Rhinolophus ferrumequinum: one gene and its partner. The protein of the gene in region 1 interacts with the protein of each later gene in a pairwise test. Links are inferred from orthologs where the notes say so. Each region holds a gene or a part of one and is shown on either strand. Other genes may lie near its edges.

Region 1 (9,713 bases):
GGCAGATGGGGCTTTAGCAGACATCTTGGACCAGGAGTTGGACGACACATGCTGAGGATGAAGGAGCAGCAAGGTTTTTGAAACCCCTCTATATGCCTACCCTGGACTTCTATTATGAGAAAGAGAAATACAGTTTTGTCTTGCTTAAGCCATTATTGTCTTAGATTTTTTTGTTACTCACAGCCAAAGCTAATGCTAACTATACACAGTGAATATTCATTCCTCAAAGGCAGTGTCAGAATGAGACTACTGAAGAACTCTTGCTCTGCAGACTATAGAGCTGTCTATAACGGGTTCCACTCTATTCCCAGCCTAGTTTTTCTTCAACCTTCTCTCCGAGACTGTGAGCTTCCCGTACAATTTCAGTAAATTCCCTTTTTGCTCAAGTTACACAGAATAGGTTTCTCTTGCTTGCAAACAAAGAACCTTAATAAAACAAATTTTGCACACTTTGTAAAAATTTGATGAGTGTTTGGGTTAAGGGTCTATTGTATTAATAAAAGAAAAAAATTGCCTAGAATATAATTTTAGACTCAAAATAGGCCCAAGTCATCCTACTTTTCCCATTATGCTGCTTATCATGCCCAGTACCTGTAGCCCAGTAGTAAATATCCCAGTCATTGCTAGGCTCATTAATCAGGCGATCGTAGAGGTTCAGCTGTTTCTCTGTCATGTGGTGCAGATATTCTTTAGCAAAGAGGCTAAAAACAAGAAAGAGAAAGAAGTTGAAATGCTGTCTCTAGTCAAAGAGAAGTGACACCAACACCCCTGTCCCCTACCTAAGCAGAATGCAGTTTTCCAGCATTCCCCTCTTTCTGCTCTCATAGAGCAGGCGGGCTCTTTTGGTTTCTATGGATTCATCAGTTCGCTCCTGCCATGGAGGCAAAGGGATTTCAATCATATCTTTTTGGGAATCTGTTGGGCTGTCACCTCTGCAGAAGTGTCTGAATGATGTCATGCTGAGCAAAGGAGACACTGGGTGGCGCCTGGACAGAGCAAGCATCTGAAACAAAGCACAAACATCTTTTTAACAACAACAAATAACATTTGTCATTCACTCAACACATTAGATGCTAAATACATTCAATCTCATTTAGTCTGTAAGAACTTATGCTGATACTGACTCCACCCTACAGTTTAGGAAGTTGAAGCTCAGGGAAGTTAAAAAACTTGTCATCCAAATAGTAACTGCAGTTAGGATCGAAACCGAGCTATAATTACAAACGTGTTCTTAATCAGTGCCCTTCCAGAAATTATCCAGCAGAAATATTTTCTCTTTCCTTTGCAGTCCCTTAAAATTTTTACAGTATGGTTTGTATTCTAGTCACTAGCCTGTGTCAAAATCTGAGCATACAGTGATGGCATGGATCCTAATCCCCCAAGGACTCCTAGAGAAAGTCAAAAACTATCAAGATGTGATGAGAAGGTGGTGATATAAGCAAGATGACAGAGCAGGAAGCACCACATTCTCCTTCACCCACAGAGACACCAACTCCACAACAATATACTCGGGACACTATAGAAGCCTGGGGGCTGAGAACAGAGCTGGAAGGCTTGTGGCACCTTGAGAACCTGCAGTAGTACAGACACCAGAAGGAGTAAGAACTTATGAGCTCCCGACAAAAGAAGCCAGCAAATTCCTCTAATTAGGAATTGACATGCACAAATCCAGAGAAGACATATCTACTCGAAAGTATTGGGAAGCCCCCAGAATCTCTAGCAGGGCTGCCTGGTGATGGTCTTTCTTTGAATAAAGCCAGTCCAAAAAAACTAGGAGAGTTGGCTGTTTTATCAAATGCGTGGATCCCAACAAAAAATTGTACAGGACACAAAGAAACAAGGAAACATGGCCTAATCAAAGGAACAAAACAAATCTCCAGAAATCGACCCTAAAGAAACAGAGGTATATGAATTACCTGACAAAGAATTCAAAATAACTGCCATCAAGATGTTCAATGAGGTCAGAAAAACAATGCATGAACAAAATGAAAATATCAATAAAGATAAATATTAAAAAGAACCCAATGGAAAATGTAGAACTGAAGGATACAATAACTGAATTTAAAAATTCACTATCGGGGTTAAACAGCAGACTTGATCAAGCAGAAGAAAGAATGAGTGAACTCTAAGACAAGTCATTTGAAATTACCCATCAGAAGAAAGAAAAGAAAAAATAATGAAAAACAGTGAATACACCCAAGAGACTTATGGGACATCATCAAGCGTACACTACACACATTATGGGAGTCCCAGAAGAAGAGAGAGAAAGGAGCAGAAAGCTCATTTGAAGAAATAATGGACCAAAACTTCCCAAATCCAGGGAAATGAATGGACATTAAAATTCAAGAAGCCCAAAGGACCTAAAGCATATTAGACAGTAACACAAAAGCATATAAAAGCATAAAGCTCACTGGTAAAGGTAAATATGACAAATACAGAATATCGTAATATTGTAACAATGGTGCATAAATCACTTTTAATTCTGGTATAGAAGTTAAAACACAAAGACTTTTTTTAAAGACCTATAAAATATGTTAATGGATACACAATATAAAAATATGCAATTGTGACATCAATAACATAAAGTGAGAAGGAGTAAAAGAGCAGAGTTTTTGTATGAGATTGAAGTTAAACTGTTATCAGCTTAAAATAGTTATTATGTTGTATGTAAGCCCCACAGTAACCACAAAGGAAATACCTATACAAGATACACAATAGAAAGTCAGAAAGGAATCAAAGTATGCTTCTACCAAAAAAAAAAAAAAAAATCAACGAAACACCAAAGATGATATCAAGGGAGGAAAAGAGGGACACAGGCTCCAAGACATGAAGGAAATATTTAACAAAATGGCAACAGTAAGTCCTTTCCTACCAGTAATTATTTTAAATGTAAATATATTAAACTCCCCAACCAAAATAGAGAGTGACTCAATAGACAAAAAAAAAAAACAAAAAAACAAACAACAAAAAAAACAAGACTCAAGTATATGCTGTTAAAAGAGACTCACTTGAGATGTAAGGCAACACATAAGTTGAAAGTGAAAGAATGAAAAAAAGATATTCCATGCAAATGGTAACCAAAAGTGAGCAGAGGCCTCTACTCATATCAGGCTTTCAATCAAAAACTGTTACAAGAGATAAAGAAGGATATTATGTAATAATAAAAGGGTCAATCCACCAGGAAGATATAACAATTATAAATATACATGTAACCAATATCAGAGCACCCAAATATATGAAGCAAACACTGACAGAACTGAAGAAAGAAATAGCAACACAATAATAGATTTCAATGCCCCACTTTCAATAATGGATAGAACATCCAGACAGAAGATCAGTAAGTAAATAGAGAACTTGAACAACACTACAGATCCAATGAACCAAACAGATATATACAGAACATTCCACCCAACAGCAGCGAGAATATACATTATTCTCAAGCACACTGTGAACATCCTCCAGGATAGATCACGTTAGGTTATAAAACAAGTTTAAGAATATTGAAATTGTATGAGATCTTTTCTGACTACAACGGAATGAAAACTAGAAATCAACAGCAGAAGGCAAATTGGAAAATTCACAAATATGTGAAAATAAAACAACACGCTCTCAAACAACCAATGGTTCAAATGAACCAAAGAAGAAATCAAAAGGGAAATTAGAAAATATCTTGAGACAATAGACACAACATGCAAAATAGCATGAGAAGCAGCAAAAAGCAATAGTAAGAAAAGTTTACAGTGGTAAACACCTACATTTAAGAAAAAAGGAAAAGAAAGAAAGATCTTATGATGCGATGTGAACTCACGATAGGTATTAGAGAAGATTTAAGAGGAAGCTGACTTAAAATCAGACAGAAGAGGCGCCCAGAGGCGGTGGGGCCAGCTTCACCCGGGAAACAGGTGAAATCCGTATTGGGTCTTACAGGAAGACTGATCGTTCCACGATACCACAATACAGGCAGCTAGTGGGTTCCGGAAAAGGGTGACAGCGACTTGAATCTCCTAATTTGCAAGCTCGACCTCTCCTTGGGTCTGTCCTTGCCTTAGGCTGTCAGGCAGTTGGACCTCTCCTCGCGGTCTCCAGGACTGCGGAAGAAGAAGAGACTCAGTTCCCACTGTGGCCCGCCCAGGACCCTACGACATGCATTCTCACCCGTGCCAGAGCCGGGAATACGATGGCCACTGCCATTTTTCCTGACCTGTACCGGAAGCCTGCGGCCCAGCCACTTCCGGGACCTCCCGGACGCCGACCCTGCGGAAGATTCGCCCTAAGCCGGAAGATGCGTGCCTGCGTAGGGCGGAAGTGGCTTTGCGTGTGACGCCAGTGGCGGGGTAGGGGGGAAGGCGGGACCTGGGGGGCCGAGAGCGGTTCGCGCGCTTCGGGCCTAGTTCGGACTCGCCGCCTCCGCCGCCATATTCCCGGTAACGGGGGCGCGCGGCCGGGGGCCGGCTGGGCCGGAAGAGGGCTCGGGGCCGGCGCTGAGGCGGGGAGGGGGTCGGTTGAGTTTGGGGCAGCCGGAGTCGGCGGGCGGAGGTTGGCGCGGGCCTTTGTGGGAGGGGGCCGAGGGCGCTGGGCCGGGTCTGTGGGGAGGGAGCGGGGCGGGCCTAGCTGGGGGCGAGGACTGGGCTTGGATGTGGAACAGGATCTCCGGGACTCGCGGGGATTCTAGCCGGGGCCGCCCCGGGGCCTAGGCAGGTGCGTTGGGCTGGGGCTGCGGGCTTCGCCTCGGGCGTTCTTAACGGCGCTGTGCGAGGGCCCCTAGGTGCAGAGGCCTGGGGTTCCCCGTCGCGCCACGGCCCCAGCGGCGTAGCTCGGGTCGGGCCCGAGGGTGATGGGCAGCGAGCCCCGCGAGCCCCGGCGGCCTGGGAGCGCGAGGGGCGGCGCGAGGCCGGGGGCGGGGCGGAGCGGGTGGGGCAGAGCTTGGGCTGCCGGGGAGGCTGCGTCTCTGGAGACGGGAGGTTGGCGACCATTGCCCTCCTTCCAACCCGGGACCTTCATGCCATCTAACTCTTGCCTCTCCGCAGTGGCATCTTTCTTACTTTGTCCGTTCTCCGGGCCCGCGATCTGCCTTCCGGAGCCATGTCAGAAGGAGTGGACTTGATTGATATATATGCCGACGAGGAGTTCAATCAGGTGAGGGGTCATCGGGAGTATTGGGGTTTTCCAGGATCAGCCAAGGAATCACTTCCAGCATACTTGCAGTGGCTCCAAGCTATGCTAGCTAGCCCTTGAGGATTTGCTAGGCCTGAACACGCCTCATCGGGTCTAAAATTGTTCCTCTAGTACAGATTTTCAAGACTTCTGACCATTCCGCTTTATGTTACTATAAGCCTCCAGGCTTAATTTTAAAGGCTTTCATTTAAGAGCAAATAAAAATCAGGTTTAATAGAATGGTGAATCAACCTGTGGAACTTGCTGCCCCAGGAAGCCAGAGTTGGATGTTTGTCTCCTCAAAAACTAACCACTTAAAAATCAGAAATACGTTTGCTGTGGTTTTCATGAAGACAAGGTTGATACCTGTTGCTTTGTGATTCTGTCAAACTGCGGCTGGAAAAATGTAGTCAGTCCCCTCTCCCATAAGATAGTGCGAAGTCACACTGTAAAAGATACTTTAACGTTTAATTTTAGCTCCATTACAATTGTTTTGCATTTTCCTTTGATAAGTAGCTTAAGTCCAGTCTCAAGCCCATAGGCATTTTGGTTTAATACATTTTATTGATGAATCTAATTGGGTGTTGTGGGGAGAAGTAAAGGTTTTGGACAAACCAGTTAAAAAGCAGGTATAGGGGTAGCTGGTTAGCTCAGTTGGTTAGAGCGTGGTGCTACTAACACCAAGGTTGCTGGTTCAATCCCCACATGGGCCACTGTGAGCTGCACCCTCCTTTAAAAAAAAAAAGCAGGGACAGACCCACTCACATACCCTGAGATGGATTTGTTGGTCCCTTTGTGTTATGTCAAGGAATATTATACAGTGATTTCCCTTGAAACAATAATCTCATATACAGTTCGATTCTGAGCTCTTGAGGTCAAATCTCAAGAATATTTCAAAGTTTCTATTTAAACTGATTAATATCTTGCCTGGATTGTTTTCAACACTGTTCTACTTGAGTAAGCTGGTTTTTCCCATTGGCATCTTTTATGGGGTACCCATAAGGGCCTGCAAAAAGGATAAAAAGAATAAAGGAGAAAAGAGCACTGTTTGGACCCTGACTTTAATCTGAGGCAACAGAGGAGGTTGAAATACATGTAATTTTTTTCACTTGGCATAAGTTTACGTTAAAAAAGATTTTTAATACGTTATGCCTTTTTAACATGGAATTTTTAAAACACATGATAATAGAGTAGTGTCAAGACCTTGTACCCATTATATACAGCTTCACCAGTTATACTTTTTTAAGTTTTTTTTTTTTTCAATTGGGGAAGGGGAACAGGACTTTATTGGGGAACAGTATGTACTTCCAGGACTTTTTTCCAAGTCAAGTTGTTGTCCTTTCAATCTTAGTTGTGGAGGGTGCCGTTCTGCTTCAAGTTGTCGTCTTTTCAGTCTTAGTTGTGGAGGGTGCAGCGCAGCCCCAGGTTCAGCTGCTGTTTCTAGTCGCCGGGGGCGCTGCCCACCATCCCCTGCGGGAGTCAAACCAGCAACCTTGTGGTTGAGAGCCTACTGGCCCATGTGGGAATCGAACCGGCAGCCTTCGGAATTAGGAGCATGGAGCTCCAACCGCCTGAGCCACCGGGCCGGCCCCACCAGTTATACTTTTTAATAGTCATTTTCCCATGTCTCTTCAGGTAAACTGGAGTCACCTACATGTGGCTGCTGATTGGTTTAAAAATAGGAAATTTTTTTATTTTTAATTTCATACAAGTCAAATAATCACTTACGGATAAAAAGAAAGGTTTAATATATTAGTTACAAACCATTGCTTTCCTCGGTTACTTTGAATCAAACTTATACTACTTTTAACAAGTTATGGTTCGTTTTTTAAATACAAGATATCGAGGAAAGAGGAAGGCTCCTTTATGGAGGAGTCAGAGTGGAGTTGGCTCTCTTCCGTTGGTTGATAACTGTGCTGCTATGTCCATGGGGAAATGGGCAGAACAAAGCCCTTAACCACAGGAATAGCTACATTTGGTCTGAGAAAATGAGATTTCATAACTTCTCTAGCATCGACAAGACACAGGCCTCGTCCCGTGGTCCCTGCTGTGTCAGTAGAAGTCATTGGCCTCAACAGTTCGTGTTCTCTGGTCACTTTTGTTAAAACGGACTTTCTAAAGGGAGGCCAAAGATGGTGTGAGAGAACTAGTGGATGTGTATACCAAACAATATTTGATGCTTGGCAGCTTGAAGAAAGCGTCGATTTTGAATGTCATGTCTTGTGGATGGTCGAGGTGGGGTGTTTTTTTCTCCCATAAATAAGTTAATTTTTGGCAAAGCTGGTTTTAATGTAATTTGGAGGCTGCTAAAGAAATAAAAACTCTTGTCTGGCTAGGATTGTTAGAAGCAGACTTAGACTGAAGGCGACCAGTGCGGATAGTGTTTCAGAATGTTTTAAGAATGTTATTGATTCACCCCAAGCTGACCCATGCACAAAAACTCTGTCACATGTACTTTGCTCCCCAGGGAAAATGAACACAGTTCCTAGATGGGACCCTATGGTACTGACTCCCTGATCTCTTCCAGCATGTGCTGCAAAAGCCTCTTTTGCACAGCTACTTCACTCCTGCGGCATAGGGAGTCTTGAGACTCGCAGCTGCTCTCATGGGCTGGGGAAAACTCTGGAAAATAACAGAGCTGCCTTTCTCCTGAGTGTTTTGTCTCTGTTCCTTATATGAAGACAGGCAGGCGCTTTGCACAGTATGCTCAGTTCTCTTTCTTACTTCCATCAACAAACGTTTGTTGAGCTACCTTTGTTAGCTAGGCACCATGTTGGAACTAGTGAGGTAAAAGGGAAGTAAAAAAACCAAACGGGAATCCCTGTGCTCAAAAGACGTGGTGTTCCTGGTGGTTGAGGGCAATGAACAGTGACAGGAAAGGAGAATGTTAGCTGACAATTGTGGAAATGGTGATTATAAAGCCAAAAATTGTTAGCTTTGGTTACAGTTAAGACAATGGTATCAAGTAGGTTGCTTTGAGAAAAGTAAATCCTAGGCTTTATTACTCCCCTCAGATATCAGGGAAAGGGGGTTGGAATGTGGGACCATTGAGCATACAGGTGAGGAAGTTCTTACGTAAATTTAAAATTCTGCAAGTTCTTTTTTGTTAACCAAGAAGTTTCATAAGAGAATCACAGTTCTCCCTGTACTACTAAACACAAAATTCTTCCTGAGATATTCATACAGTATTAAATACATACTTCCTTTTTAATCTTCCTGGAGTGTAATCTACAATGCATGTAAAACATTCTATTATTCACTTAATGTATAGAATTAGGTTGTGCTTTAAACTAATCCATCACTGCATAAATCACCAGCTTATTTGGTTAATCAGAGAAACCTCAGGCCCTTATCTGTTTTTCTGTTTTACCAGCTGAAGAAGTAAAATGAATTGTTGTTGCTAGCAGATTTAAATCCAAACACAACTTGATACGTTGTTTCTTCAATAGAGTCCTCAGCAGGCCTCCCCTTGTGTATCAGAACAGTTCCCACCAAGGACTATGAACTGAGGTTCTATGGCCCAGAGAAACGGTTTGAATCTTGTGACAGTTTTGAACTCATTGAATCCTTTTGTGTTTCTTAAAATGATAAGGTAATCCATACAACAGAGTCTTCCAGGATTGAGTCTGTCATTTTCTAAGGTACCCTGAAGAAGCCAATTGTTCCTCTAGGCTTACGGTGTGGGGGATTTCCTGCTGCTAGTATTTGTTCGCTGAACTGTGCAAATTTGCGTGTTAGTTCATTACCCAATTATCAATGGTAATTTTTGTACAACTTATAGACACACATCTCTGAATCGCTGATACTGCATAGAAGGAATCCCAATTTGGTTCCACTGACTATCCAAGGTGGTGTGTTTCTTTATTCCCTTTAAGTTTCACTTCAAAATCCTTGATTTAAAAAACAAACAAACAAAACACTTGGTGTGAAGTAGGATTAAAGCATTGGAGAGGATCAAGTGGTTTCTAAGCTGTTTCTCTACCTTGAACCACGAGGGCAAATCACCATAGCTAGTACACAAATAAATAAATAAGTGATTTATCTAGAATTGGGGTTGTTTGAAATGTTAGGGCTATGAAATTTTACACACAAAATGTCAAGTTACTAACCCTAGCTGTCTTCACCTTATTCAATTTATTAGCTACCCTGCGCTCTGCAATGTTAGCTTCTCTCCCTGTTCTTCACACACACACACACACCCATTTTTGTGCAATACCCTTATTTATATATTTGCCTACCTAGACCAGTGTCCCTGTGCTTATTTGCCTCACTGATTCCTTTTCTTGATTTTGTTACCCCTAAAACGTTTACTCTCTTTTGCAATGCTCTTTCTGTTATTTTTACAAGGTTTAAACTCCTCTCCTGTGGGATTTCTTAGCGTATTCGTGATATTTGAAATATTTACATGCCTCAGGAAGTGGAATCCTTCCCCTTCAAACAATCTAAAAGTGTTATCTTACTGTGACTGTTCTTCCATTGTACTTTAGATAAGCTGAGAAAGTAAAAGATGTGTTTCCAAAAGTTTGTGATGGTATGTACGTCTAAGAATGAGTTTTGTA
Region 2 (9,713 bases), on another chromosome or scaffold:
TGTGACTTCATGAGGGGTTATTTCCATGAGGAGGCCACACTCTGCTCTCAGGTAGGCCTCCAGGCTGAGCGCCCTCCCTGTCCCCCCGCCTCGGAGGGTGCTGACAGGCCACTCTGCACAGGTGCACTGCATGGATGACGTGTGCGGGCTTCTGCCCTTCCTCAATCCCGAGGTGCCCGACCAGTTCTACCGCCTGTGGCTGTCCCTCTTCTTACACGCTGGGCAAGTGACACCCTCAGTGCTGAGCAGGGATGGGTGGGCAGGGGTCTCAGGGCCCCCGGGAGTGGCGGGCCACGGGTGGCCGTCCCTGCTGAGGCCCCTCCACCCCACAGCATCCTGCACTGCCTGGTGTCCGTCTGCTTCCAGATGACCGTCCTGCGGGACCTGGAGAAGCTGGCGGGCTGGCACCGAATCGCCATCATTTACCTGCTGAGTGGCGTCACCGGGAACCTAGCCAGTGCCATTTTCCTGCCGTACCGGGCAGAGGTGAGGATGGGTGCCAGCCTGGGAGCGTGTCCCCTCGGGCCCTTGATCCTGCTGTGCTCCAGGCCACGGGAGGCGGGATGAGGGGACGAGGCTGTGGGTCCGGGGGTCCCACTCGGCCCGCACTGCCTGTCCCCCCAGGTGGGCCCGGCCGGCTCGCAGTTCGGCATCCTGGCGTGCCTCTTCGTGGAGCTCTTCCAGAGCTGGCAGATCCTGGCCCGGCCCTGGCGCGCCTTCTTCAAGCTGCTGGCGGTGGTGCTCTTCCTGTTCACATTTGGGCTGCTGCCCTGGATCGACAACTTCGCCCACATCTCGGGCTTCGTCAGCGGCCTCTTCCTGTCCTTCGCCTTCTTGCCCTACGTCAGCTTCGGCAGGTTCGACCTGTACCGCAAGCGCTGCCAGATCCTCATCTTCCAGGCCGTGTTCCTGGGCCTGCTGGCCGGCCTGGTGGTCCTCTTCTACTTCTACCCCGTGCGCTGTGAGTGGTGTGAGTTCCTCACCTGCATCCCCTTCACCGACAAGTTCTGCGAGAAGTACGAGCTGGACGCCCAGCTCCACTGAGCTGCTGGCCACTGGGGCCACCTGCTCCCGGGCGCCGTCCACCCCGAGCCTTGCAGGCCACGGACGGGGCTGCCTGAGCCCCGTGTGGGGTTCTCAGGCCACGGACGGGGCTGCCTGAGCCCCGTGTGGGGTCCGTAGGCCACGGACAGGGCTGCCTGAGCCCTGTGTGGGGTCCGCCCGCGTCTTGGACACAGACCTCTTGTGCCTTGTTCACTGCTGTTGACCCTCTCGTACTTCTGGGCATTTATTACACTAGTTCCCGTGATTCCCTTCTAACTAGTCTCTTGACGACCACCTCAGGTGGCCAATAAATGGACTGGGAGCGTTTTAGCTGCCACTAACTTGACCAGAGCTGCCTTCTGCTTTCTCGTTCCTGGCTGGGGGCTGTGGCGGGACGTTCCTCTCACTCACAATTCCCCAGACAAGGAACGAAGTATACAAAACACCTCCCAGGGAAGTCCCTCAGCCAGGTTGCACCCCCTGCCCCCAGCTCCCTTCCTAGTTACCGGTAGCCACAATGGGATACAGACCCAGGGATGTGCTGTCATTTCTCCCCCCCACACACACTGAGAAGCGCCCTCCCTGCTCAGCCAGCAGTTCCAGCTGCTGCCCCAGGCCCCTCCATTTCCGGGAGCCAGGGGATGGCACCGCTGTACAGTCCTGCGGGCCAAGGCGGGAGGCCCTGCCGACGGCTGTGCTCTCACACACAGGCCCGTTTGTTTCTGCACAAGTAGAAGAGAAAGCCAGCTGCGTGTGGGGGACACACATTTATTTCCTCCTGGCCGTGGGGGACACAGTAATGGTCAGGTGGCCTCCGCAGCCCTCAGGACGCACCGGCCCCATTCTCTGCCCTTGCCTCCTGGGATGCCGCAGTGCCCGTCCCTCCTGCCGGGACCGTGGCTTGTGGACTTTTCCAGGTCAGAAGCAGAGAGGTTTATGCTGTACTCAGGGCCTGGCCCACAGCCCTGTGGCATCTGCCACGAGATGAGGGTGTTTGGGCTCAGGGAGGGGTCAAGCTCAGGTCACGAGCACTGGCTCGTCAGGTCCTAGTCCTGAGGGCCCAGGCTTCAGACAAGTCCACCTGTGCTCACTTTGACATTCTCCTGTGACAAGGGGACAGTGGCCCGAAGCTGCTTCCTGCTGGGCAGAGCTTGTCACCGGCACAGTTGTCCTCGTCCAGGGGTTCATTTTTGCCTCAGCTTTTTGATGAAAGACACCTCGTCCCGATTCCGGATACCATAACTGAAAGAGAAGGAAAGGTGTCAAGTGTCTGATCTCCAGAAGGGTACATCCAGGACTCCTCACCTGAGGCTGGTGAAAAACCAAGAAAGAACAGGTGGGAAGAGTGTGGCATCCAGGAGGGGGCAGTGGCCACACGTACCAGGGGGCAGCCTTTCACCTCCATGCACTCTTTCTCCCCTCTTCTGCCTCTGTGCTGCCCTGAACTGCCACTGGTGAGAAGCAGTAGGGCCCCTCACCCCTCTCCTCCACCCGCATTCTCCTCGTGGGGGCCCCCAGCGGGAGGCGTCAGCACAGCCAGGGTCCTCTGTAGGTCTCACAGAGTCCTCAGGAACTGACTGAGGATCCCTCCTTCCTGGGAGGGGGCCCCAGCCGTCTGGCAGAGCATGTGTAACCAGACGGCACCGCCCAAATGCCTGCCTGTAGCTCAACATGTGGCCTGGACTTACTCTCGGAGCTTCTTCCTGTCCTCTGTGAGCTTCTCTCCTGCAGAGGTCAGATGGTACGTTCTCCACACGTAGGGCCTGCAAGGTAGGGTTTCAGGTAAACCGTGAGCAGGGTGAGTGGAGCAGCTGGGATGCAGACGCTGTGACTGAGAGCGGCTCACGGTGCTCAGCTCTGTGGGCCCGGGGCAGCCGGCCGCCTCTTCTGGGCTGTTTCCTGTACACTGTGCACTGTGCCTGAGGCGGCTACAAGGAGGCCCGGCTCTATGAGGGCCGTGTGGGCCATGCAAGGGAGGAGAAGAACATCCAGGAGAAGTCCTGGATGTACCGTCTGTAACTAGGAGACCACTTCTGGACACATCACACATGCCCTAAGGTGTCCCTAAGTACAGATACCAGCTGCCTAGGTGGGGTGATGCAGATGAAAGAGCAGGTGATGCAGGACTCCCAGGCACAGAAGCACCTGCCCTGTCTGAAAGCTCCGGGCAGGGAGCGCATCACTTTAGTCAGTACTTTGTAACAGGGCTCAGTGACTAAAAAGCACACGGAGTCCTGTGGAGTCCCAGTCCAGCTCCCAGGAGGGGATGCAAAGAGCCTTGGCGCCACTTACCAGCTGATGTGTTGAATGCCGCCTTCCCGCTCCTGCCTGAGCTGCACGTATCTCTGGATGGCTTTCTTCAGGTCCAGGACTGTGGCATTCTGTACCACGACCACAGCTGCAACCAGGGACACAAAAGGGAGAAGATCCATGGTGGGAAGCCCCAGCCACAGCCTCAGGTGGGGGGAGAGGAACCCAGAAGCCCTGTCAAGCCTTGTTTCTGACCGAGGCTCAAATCTGGGTGGGTGGGCTTGTGGTTGCCCCAACACCCATGGGCATGGCCCCTGAGTGTCCCACTGACCAGCCCCTGTGAAAGCTCAGATTGCACGGCCTGAAGGGAGGAGGGCAGCACTTACGCATGACTTCTCCATCCATCTTGCACACTCGGACTGTCATTGCTTGGCCATACTCTAGGGCTATTTGGGAATTGACCTCTTCCAAAGTAACCTAGAAAAGACCAAGGGGGGAGGTGGGAGCCCTGGCTTTACCACCCCAAAACGACAACAAAGAAAAACAAGGTGGTACTGTCCAAAGAGTGGTGCAACGTTATATGAAAGATGAGAAAGGGAAAGGGTTCTTACTTATATATCAGGGTTTCCCAGTCCAGCACCTCAATCTCATGTGCCACCCACATTTCCCATTTAAAGTCCAAAGCGGACAGAGGCTCTGGAGAAAGGAGCACAGGAACAGGCAAGAAGGATGGATCCTTTCATCCAGGGGCTGGGTAGGAAGAAGAACCCTGGGCCTGCCCGTGCGTTCTGGGAGCCTCTGATCACCAGGATCCAAGCCCGGGCCTCTGGAGAAGGTTGAGGCACGTGTGCGATGATACACGTTGCCAATACAACTTTTAAGAAAATACAAGTTAACTTGAAAACTCCATGATGGACCAAAGAATACTGAAGCTTGAGAAGGGAAAAAACCGGCACTAACGATCTCGTCCTTCTTTTGTTGGCGATAGGTTTTACACCAACTTTGTGTTATGAACGTATTAAAATATTATTTTATTTATTTATTTATTTATTTATTGATTGATTTATTTATTTTGGCGCTTCTTTAATTTCCGCGCCCCACGGGAGAGCCCCGCTCGCCCCGCCCCAGGCTCGGCCCTGGTTAAGACCCTCATTTACGCCCAGAGGTGCCTTCCTGAGGCCTTTGGGCCACAGCCCCCATCAGCACCGCGCGGGATCCACACCCGACGAACGTCCCGGCGGGGCACGACGCCTGCACCCTGCCCGCGCGCACCTGGATCGGGAGATCGCAGAGCAGTGGGTCCTGCACCACCATGGCGAGACCCTCCTGGAACACGTCCACCGCCTCGGAGTGCGGCAGCGCCTCCTCTTCGTCCTCATCGTCGTCCTGCGCCTCGGGCTGTGCCGCCGCCTCCGCCGCCTCCAGGGCGCCTCGCTGCCGAGCGCGCTCCGCCCGCACCGTCCGTCTGCAAGACCGAGGCGCGGCGCTTTCGCCCGCGGAGCAAAACCCGCAGTCAGTTCCGACATTAGGGCGTCGATTGGCTGCCGCGAGGACCAATGAGAAGTGCGAGATGGCCTGCCGCGGTGCTCGCTGGGAGCGCGACATCGGCGTGTCTATTGGTGGGCTAAGGTGGCCAGGACCAATAGGAGCTCGAGGCGGGCGGGCATAGTGTCGGCTCCTGGGCGGCCGCGGGGGCTGCCGGGAGCCTGCGGGGCTGAGTCCGCCGTCATGCTGCTTTTCTGCCCCGGCTGCGGGAACGGGCTGATCGTGGAGGAGGGACAGCGCTGCCACCGTTTCGCCTGCAACACCTGCCCCTACGTGCACAACATCACCCGCAAGGTGGGTCCTGGAGCCCGGCGTCGGGCCCCCGCAGGCCTCCCGCTTCCTCCGGCTGTGCTCCACCCCTGTCAGGACGCAAGGTGGAGGCCCTGGCCGTGGTCACCGCCGAGGCCACAGCGGTCCTTGTAACGCCGAAGTCAGATCGAGTCCGTCTTGCGCTCGGTAACGCTCAGCAGTTCGCCAGCGTGAAATGTGCTCGCGGGGCAGACCGAGCGTTGACACCACGCCCCTCCCCCCAGCCTTGCTTTTCTGATGTCAGAAAAGGGGCTCTTTTGCCCCAGAAACACCAGCCTCTTGGAGGATCCCCCCTGATGGACGTGGCATTACTAGCAGCGCCTTTGCCCACGTTTCCTGTCCGGTCCAGACTTCCCCTAAGACAGCCGTGCCACTCTTTTGTCACGTCGTCACTTAAATCATCACTCAGTGTAAAATTGCAGCCCTTCCGTTTTATCCTCTTTCCCGGTTTTGGTTTTTCTCTAGGACTCCTTACCTTCTAATAACACGGTATAATTTACTTACGTGCTTTGTTTACCGAAGCCGAGACCTAAGCTGTAGGAGGGCAGGGCTCTTTCTGTTTTGTTCCCTCTTGTGTGCTAGTCGGAACGCCGAGGATGGAACTGAGGATGTGGAGGTGTTCACTGCGGTGAATTGTGCTCACGGTGTTAGGACTCGGTATTTTCCCCTTGATCTTTTGTGGGGACAGAGCCCCAAAAAGCAGTTTCCAGGCTCTCGGCCTCACATAGCAAGGTGCTGGCTCAGGTAGTAAATGGCCATCGACTGATCAAATGGCCATCAGCTGTGGCTAGTTGGCCGTCAGCTGTAACCAGTGAGCCATTGGGCACTAATATAACTGCCGTGGCTAGGCTAACAGAAATGGGGGCTAGCGAGAAGATGGTGGCTGAGCCAGCAAGTGGAGCAGTGAGGGTTGAGACTTGTGTTGCTCCTGGTTTCCTGTGTCTCCAACCCAGCCGCCAGTGAGAATATAGTGGTGTGACTCCCCTACCTATGGCTCCGTGGGTGTTCCTTTTTGGCCTCACTATGTCCTGCGTTCTTATGTGGGGAGTGGGACCAGAGACCCCGCCTGACACCCTGCACGACATCTTTACTCTTTAGAAGTAGAGCCCCTTGGGGCCACCCCGTTCTGAGTGTTTGTGTACTGCACCATATTGCTGTGTTGTGGGAGTTTAGAGTCTGGATCTATGAGAAGAGTGAACTCTTACGTAAGCCTGACATTTCAAGGATGTCGGGTAAAACTTGGGAAAGAAACTGAGTGCTTTGAAAGCTCTCTGCCTGCGGGGAGCGGCTGGGCTCCCCAGCTGGTACTCTTTGGCTTCAGGTGTATTTGTTTCTCACATCTTGGGTTAGGCGGTGGTATCTTAGAGATATGGGCGTAGAGGAGGGTCACACCTAAGCCATCGTGTCTTCCTGCTCTGGTGTTTCATTCAATCCTTGCAGAGATCTTCTCTGACGGCTGAATCTCTCTCTTCTCTTGTGGGGGCATCCCAATCGTAGGTTCTTTAAATTCCAGTGGTGCGTCCTGCTCTGTGGTAGCGGGAACACTGTTTTCGTTTAGTCTCCCTGCTGGCTGGGAGGAAGACAGTCTGGGAAGACACTTGAGGGCAGCTGTGGAGGTGTGGTTTGGTGGCCCACGGTTGCACTGTTCACTGACTTGGAGAGTCTGAAGGCTTGCTGTTGTTTGTTAGGTAACAAATCGGAAGTATCCAAAGCTCAAAGAAGTGGATGATGTGCTTGGTGGAGCAGCTGCCTGGGAGAATGTTGACTCTACTGCAGGTAAGAGGGAAAGCCTTCTGTAACTGAGCGGTGGGTAAGTATGAAGCCACTGGCTGCTGCTCCGTGGCAGTCGGTGATGTATTTAGAAAGTGTGTTTGCGCTTTAAGAACTTACTTGTTAACTCCAATGATATTGGCACAAGCCTTGGAGTCGTGCAGTCCTGAGTTAAAGTCTCGGGGTGACTTCTTACTGTTTTATGACCTTGCTGGGGTCCCTGAAGCGCTCCAGGGCTAATCCACACTCATAGGTTGTGAGAGCACCCAAGTGAGTTATAGTGTTTCGCATATAACAGGCAATTCTACAGGCGGTAGCTACGATAGCTACAAGGTCAGGAATAATACAAATCAGAGTCGCGGGAAATAAATGTGGTGGTCTTGTTCTCATGCGGCGTGTTAAACGTTAATACCAGAGAGCACCTAACTGCAGTCTCAGTAAAATAAATGTTTCTTTCAAGTCTTGATTCGTTTCTGATAGACATAGATGTGACCAAGGAAGGGCAGAGCAGAGCCCTAGACAACCTGCGCCGAGGGGAGGAACAGCGAAGTAAGATTAGTGCCATTGCTCTGCCTCTCTGGACCGGTACCCAGATCCGCCACGTGAACAATTTAGCAAAGGCAGAAGTTGTCATTAAAAGCTAAGTTATGCCCCGAATGTCCAAAATGGTGTTTGAGAATTTTTGAAGGTGTTTCCATCAAGAGCAGGGTTAGTGTCGCAAAGTAAAAACCTTTGAAGGTAAATGTGTCCTGGGGTCCTCGGAAAAGGTACGTATGTGTGGTGAGATCTTGATAAAAGCAGCCTGAGGAGCTACTGCCAAATAGACCCCTAAATACTCGGGGAAGCCGATTGGTCAGCCCTTGGCAGCTCCTCTGGGAAGAAGAGAGGGCGTCTCCACGTCCCAGGTGATGGAGATGAATTTGTTAGGGGAAGTCTGCACGGCGTGGGCCCCGTAATTCACACAGCAGCCGTGTTACGTTTCCAACCAGTCTTCTACCAGGTTTGAGAAAAACAGTGAGAAAAAACAGTTTGAGAAAAACAGGGCGGGGAGGAGAGTGTTTCCAAGCTCTCCTGGATTTCCTCAGTGTGAGGGCACATTGGGAACGAGATCACTGTTTATAGCCTTCCATCCGGGGACAAGGGACACCAGGTGAGCGAGGGAGGGGCTTTGCTGCCTTTTATATAACACCTGCTTCTATCAGGTATGCTGGTCGAGGAGCCTCGTGTGTTAAATAACGGGGATACCTTGTTTCTTTCTCTCATTTCCAGAGCCCTGCCCCAAATGCGAACATCCTCGAGCCTATTTTATGCAGCTTCAGACCCGCTCTGCAGACGAGCCCATGACTACCTTCTACAAGTGCTGCAATGCTCAGTGTGGTCACCGCTGGAGGGACTAGGGTGCAGCCGGCCAGCTGCGTCAGTCTGTTCCCTTCTTCCCCACGGGGCCTCCCAGCTGGGAGCGGGCACTGTGTGTCCCGAGGGTCTCTGCTGGTTGGCAGAAAGCTAACCCTTTTCGGGTTGTCGGCCAGGGTGTCAGGAAAGGTAGCCCGTCTGCCAACCAGCGGATGAACTCATTCATGTCCAGGGAGATTTTAAGTGTGGGAAGGAGTTTCCGTAACTAAGTACATTCTGCTTCAGGTCCAGTTCGTTCATCTCCTACATGTATCGGGCAATTGACATCCTCTCACCATGAACCAGCACTCTTCAATATTTACATTGTTTGTGCAACTCAGAAAGTAGAACTTGTTAATTTAGTACATTAGATGTTCCTAAGTATGTCATTGTTAATTGCAAACTTATTTAATGAAAATTTATGCTGAATATTTAATTAAAACGAAAAGTCTAATATTGCCGTCTCAGTGTTTTAAATGCCTTAAATAGGTGCCAGACCCCAAATCATGATTCCAAAATTGACTACTGCACTGAAGACTGAACTAGTTACAAAATTGCTAATGACGTGCATTTAAATTGCTTTTTTTTTTTTTTTTTTTAATCTTTGTCTTTTATTTGGCTGCAATGTTTAAATTTCAGAAGGTATTAAAACAGCCATTCTAAGCATGGCTTATGACACAAAATTTAAATACTACATTATTGGGCACAATTTTTCTTCCTCTTTTCACGTTTAGCTACAAGTCCATACTCAAAGATGGCAAACCAGTTAGGTGTAAGTTACTTTTTACAAGTTAAAATACTTTCAAACAAGAATTTACTCTAGCACTGTGGAACTACTAAACAAATAGTGAAACTGATGACCATTGATAATGGTCAATCCTAAATCAGTGTTTGAACATTGTCATGTACTGTACAGAAACAGGTGGAGTTTTTGCTAGGCAAGGACAGAAGAGCTGACATAGCAGCCAATGACTATTGAATAACCATGAAGCCAAAGTTTTAAAGATGTTAAAATCAAATCTTTAATTATTCTCGTGAACACAAGAAAATTAAGCCATGATTTTCACAATTCCCCCATGTCTGACAGCCAGCCAGGCATAGCATATCAGATCATAAGGCAGTGTGAGGGAAATAAAGTGTAAAAAAATTCATTTTGTCTCTTGGAGCTTACCATCCAACAGAGTAAGAACTTCTTATACTAGCCACTGTAGCTATAGGTGATTAGGGAAGGTTTCATGGAGACAGTGAAGATAAAGCTCCAGTAACTAAGGAATAGATTTTAATGACAGAAATGAGGACATTCTAACTAAAGGTACAAATAAGTGATCCAAAAATTATGAGGAAAGCAAGCTCCGTTGATGGGTTACATCAGCGATTCTTAACCTATAGACCACGAATAGGCT

The links. The genes of interacting proteins can lie anywhere in the genome.
Region 2: the proteins of CPSF7 (region 1) and SNRNP25 interact in binary tests that used the Homo sapiens proteins (3 or more experiments, as listed by UniProt). The two-hybrid records come from large-scale screens. The link is inferred for Rhinolophus ferrumequinum from reciprocal best matches to the Homo sapiens genes CPSF7 and SNRNP25.

Annotation. Positions count from the first base shown.
Region 1 is NC_046294.1:9,494,156-9,503,868, forward strand, and holds the start of CPSF7 (cleavage and polyadenylation specificity factor subunit 7), read left to right. Parts: upstream 1-4,300; 5' UTR 4,301-4,424; exon of another isoform or gene 4,425-4,536; intron 4,537-4,625; coding exon of another isoform or gene 4,626-4,807; intron 4,808-4,809; coding exon of another isoform or gene 4,810-4,936; intron 4,937-4,937; coding exon of another isoform or gene 4,938-4,973; exon of another isoform or gene 4,974-5,009; intron 5,010-5,027; 5' UTR 5,028-5,082; coding exon 5,083-5,136; intron 5,137-9,713.
Region 2 is NW_022680357.1:2,143,874-2,153,586, reverse strand, and holds SNRNP25 (U11/U12 small nuclear ribonucleoprotein 25 kDa protein), read right to left. Parts: upstream 4,803-9,713; 5' UTR 4,609-4,802; coding exon 4,567-4,608; intron 3,772-4,566; coding exon 3,681-3,771; intron 3,443-3,680; coding exon 3,337-3,442; intron 2,808-3,336; coding exon 2,733-2,807; intron 2,287-2,732; coding exon 2,229-2,286; 3' UTR 1,799-2,228; downstream 1-1,798. Other genes in the region: RHBDF1 (inactive rhomboid protein 1), read left to right, coding at 1-51, 122-222, 333-486, 625-1,044; POLR3K (DNA-directed RNA polymerase III subunit RPC10), read left to right, coding at 5,023-5,133, 6,837-6,924, 8,188-8,315.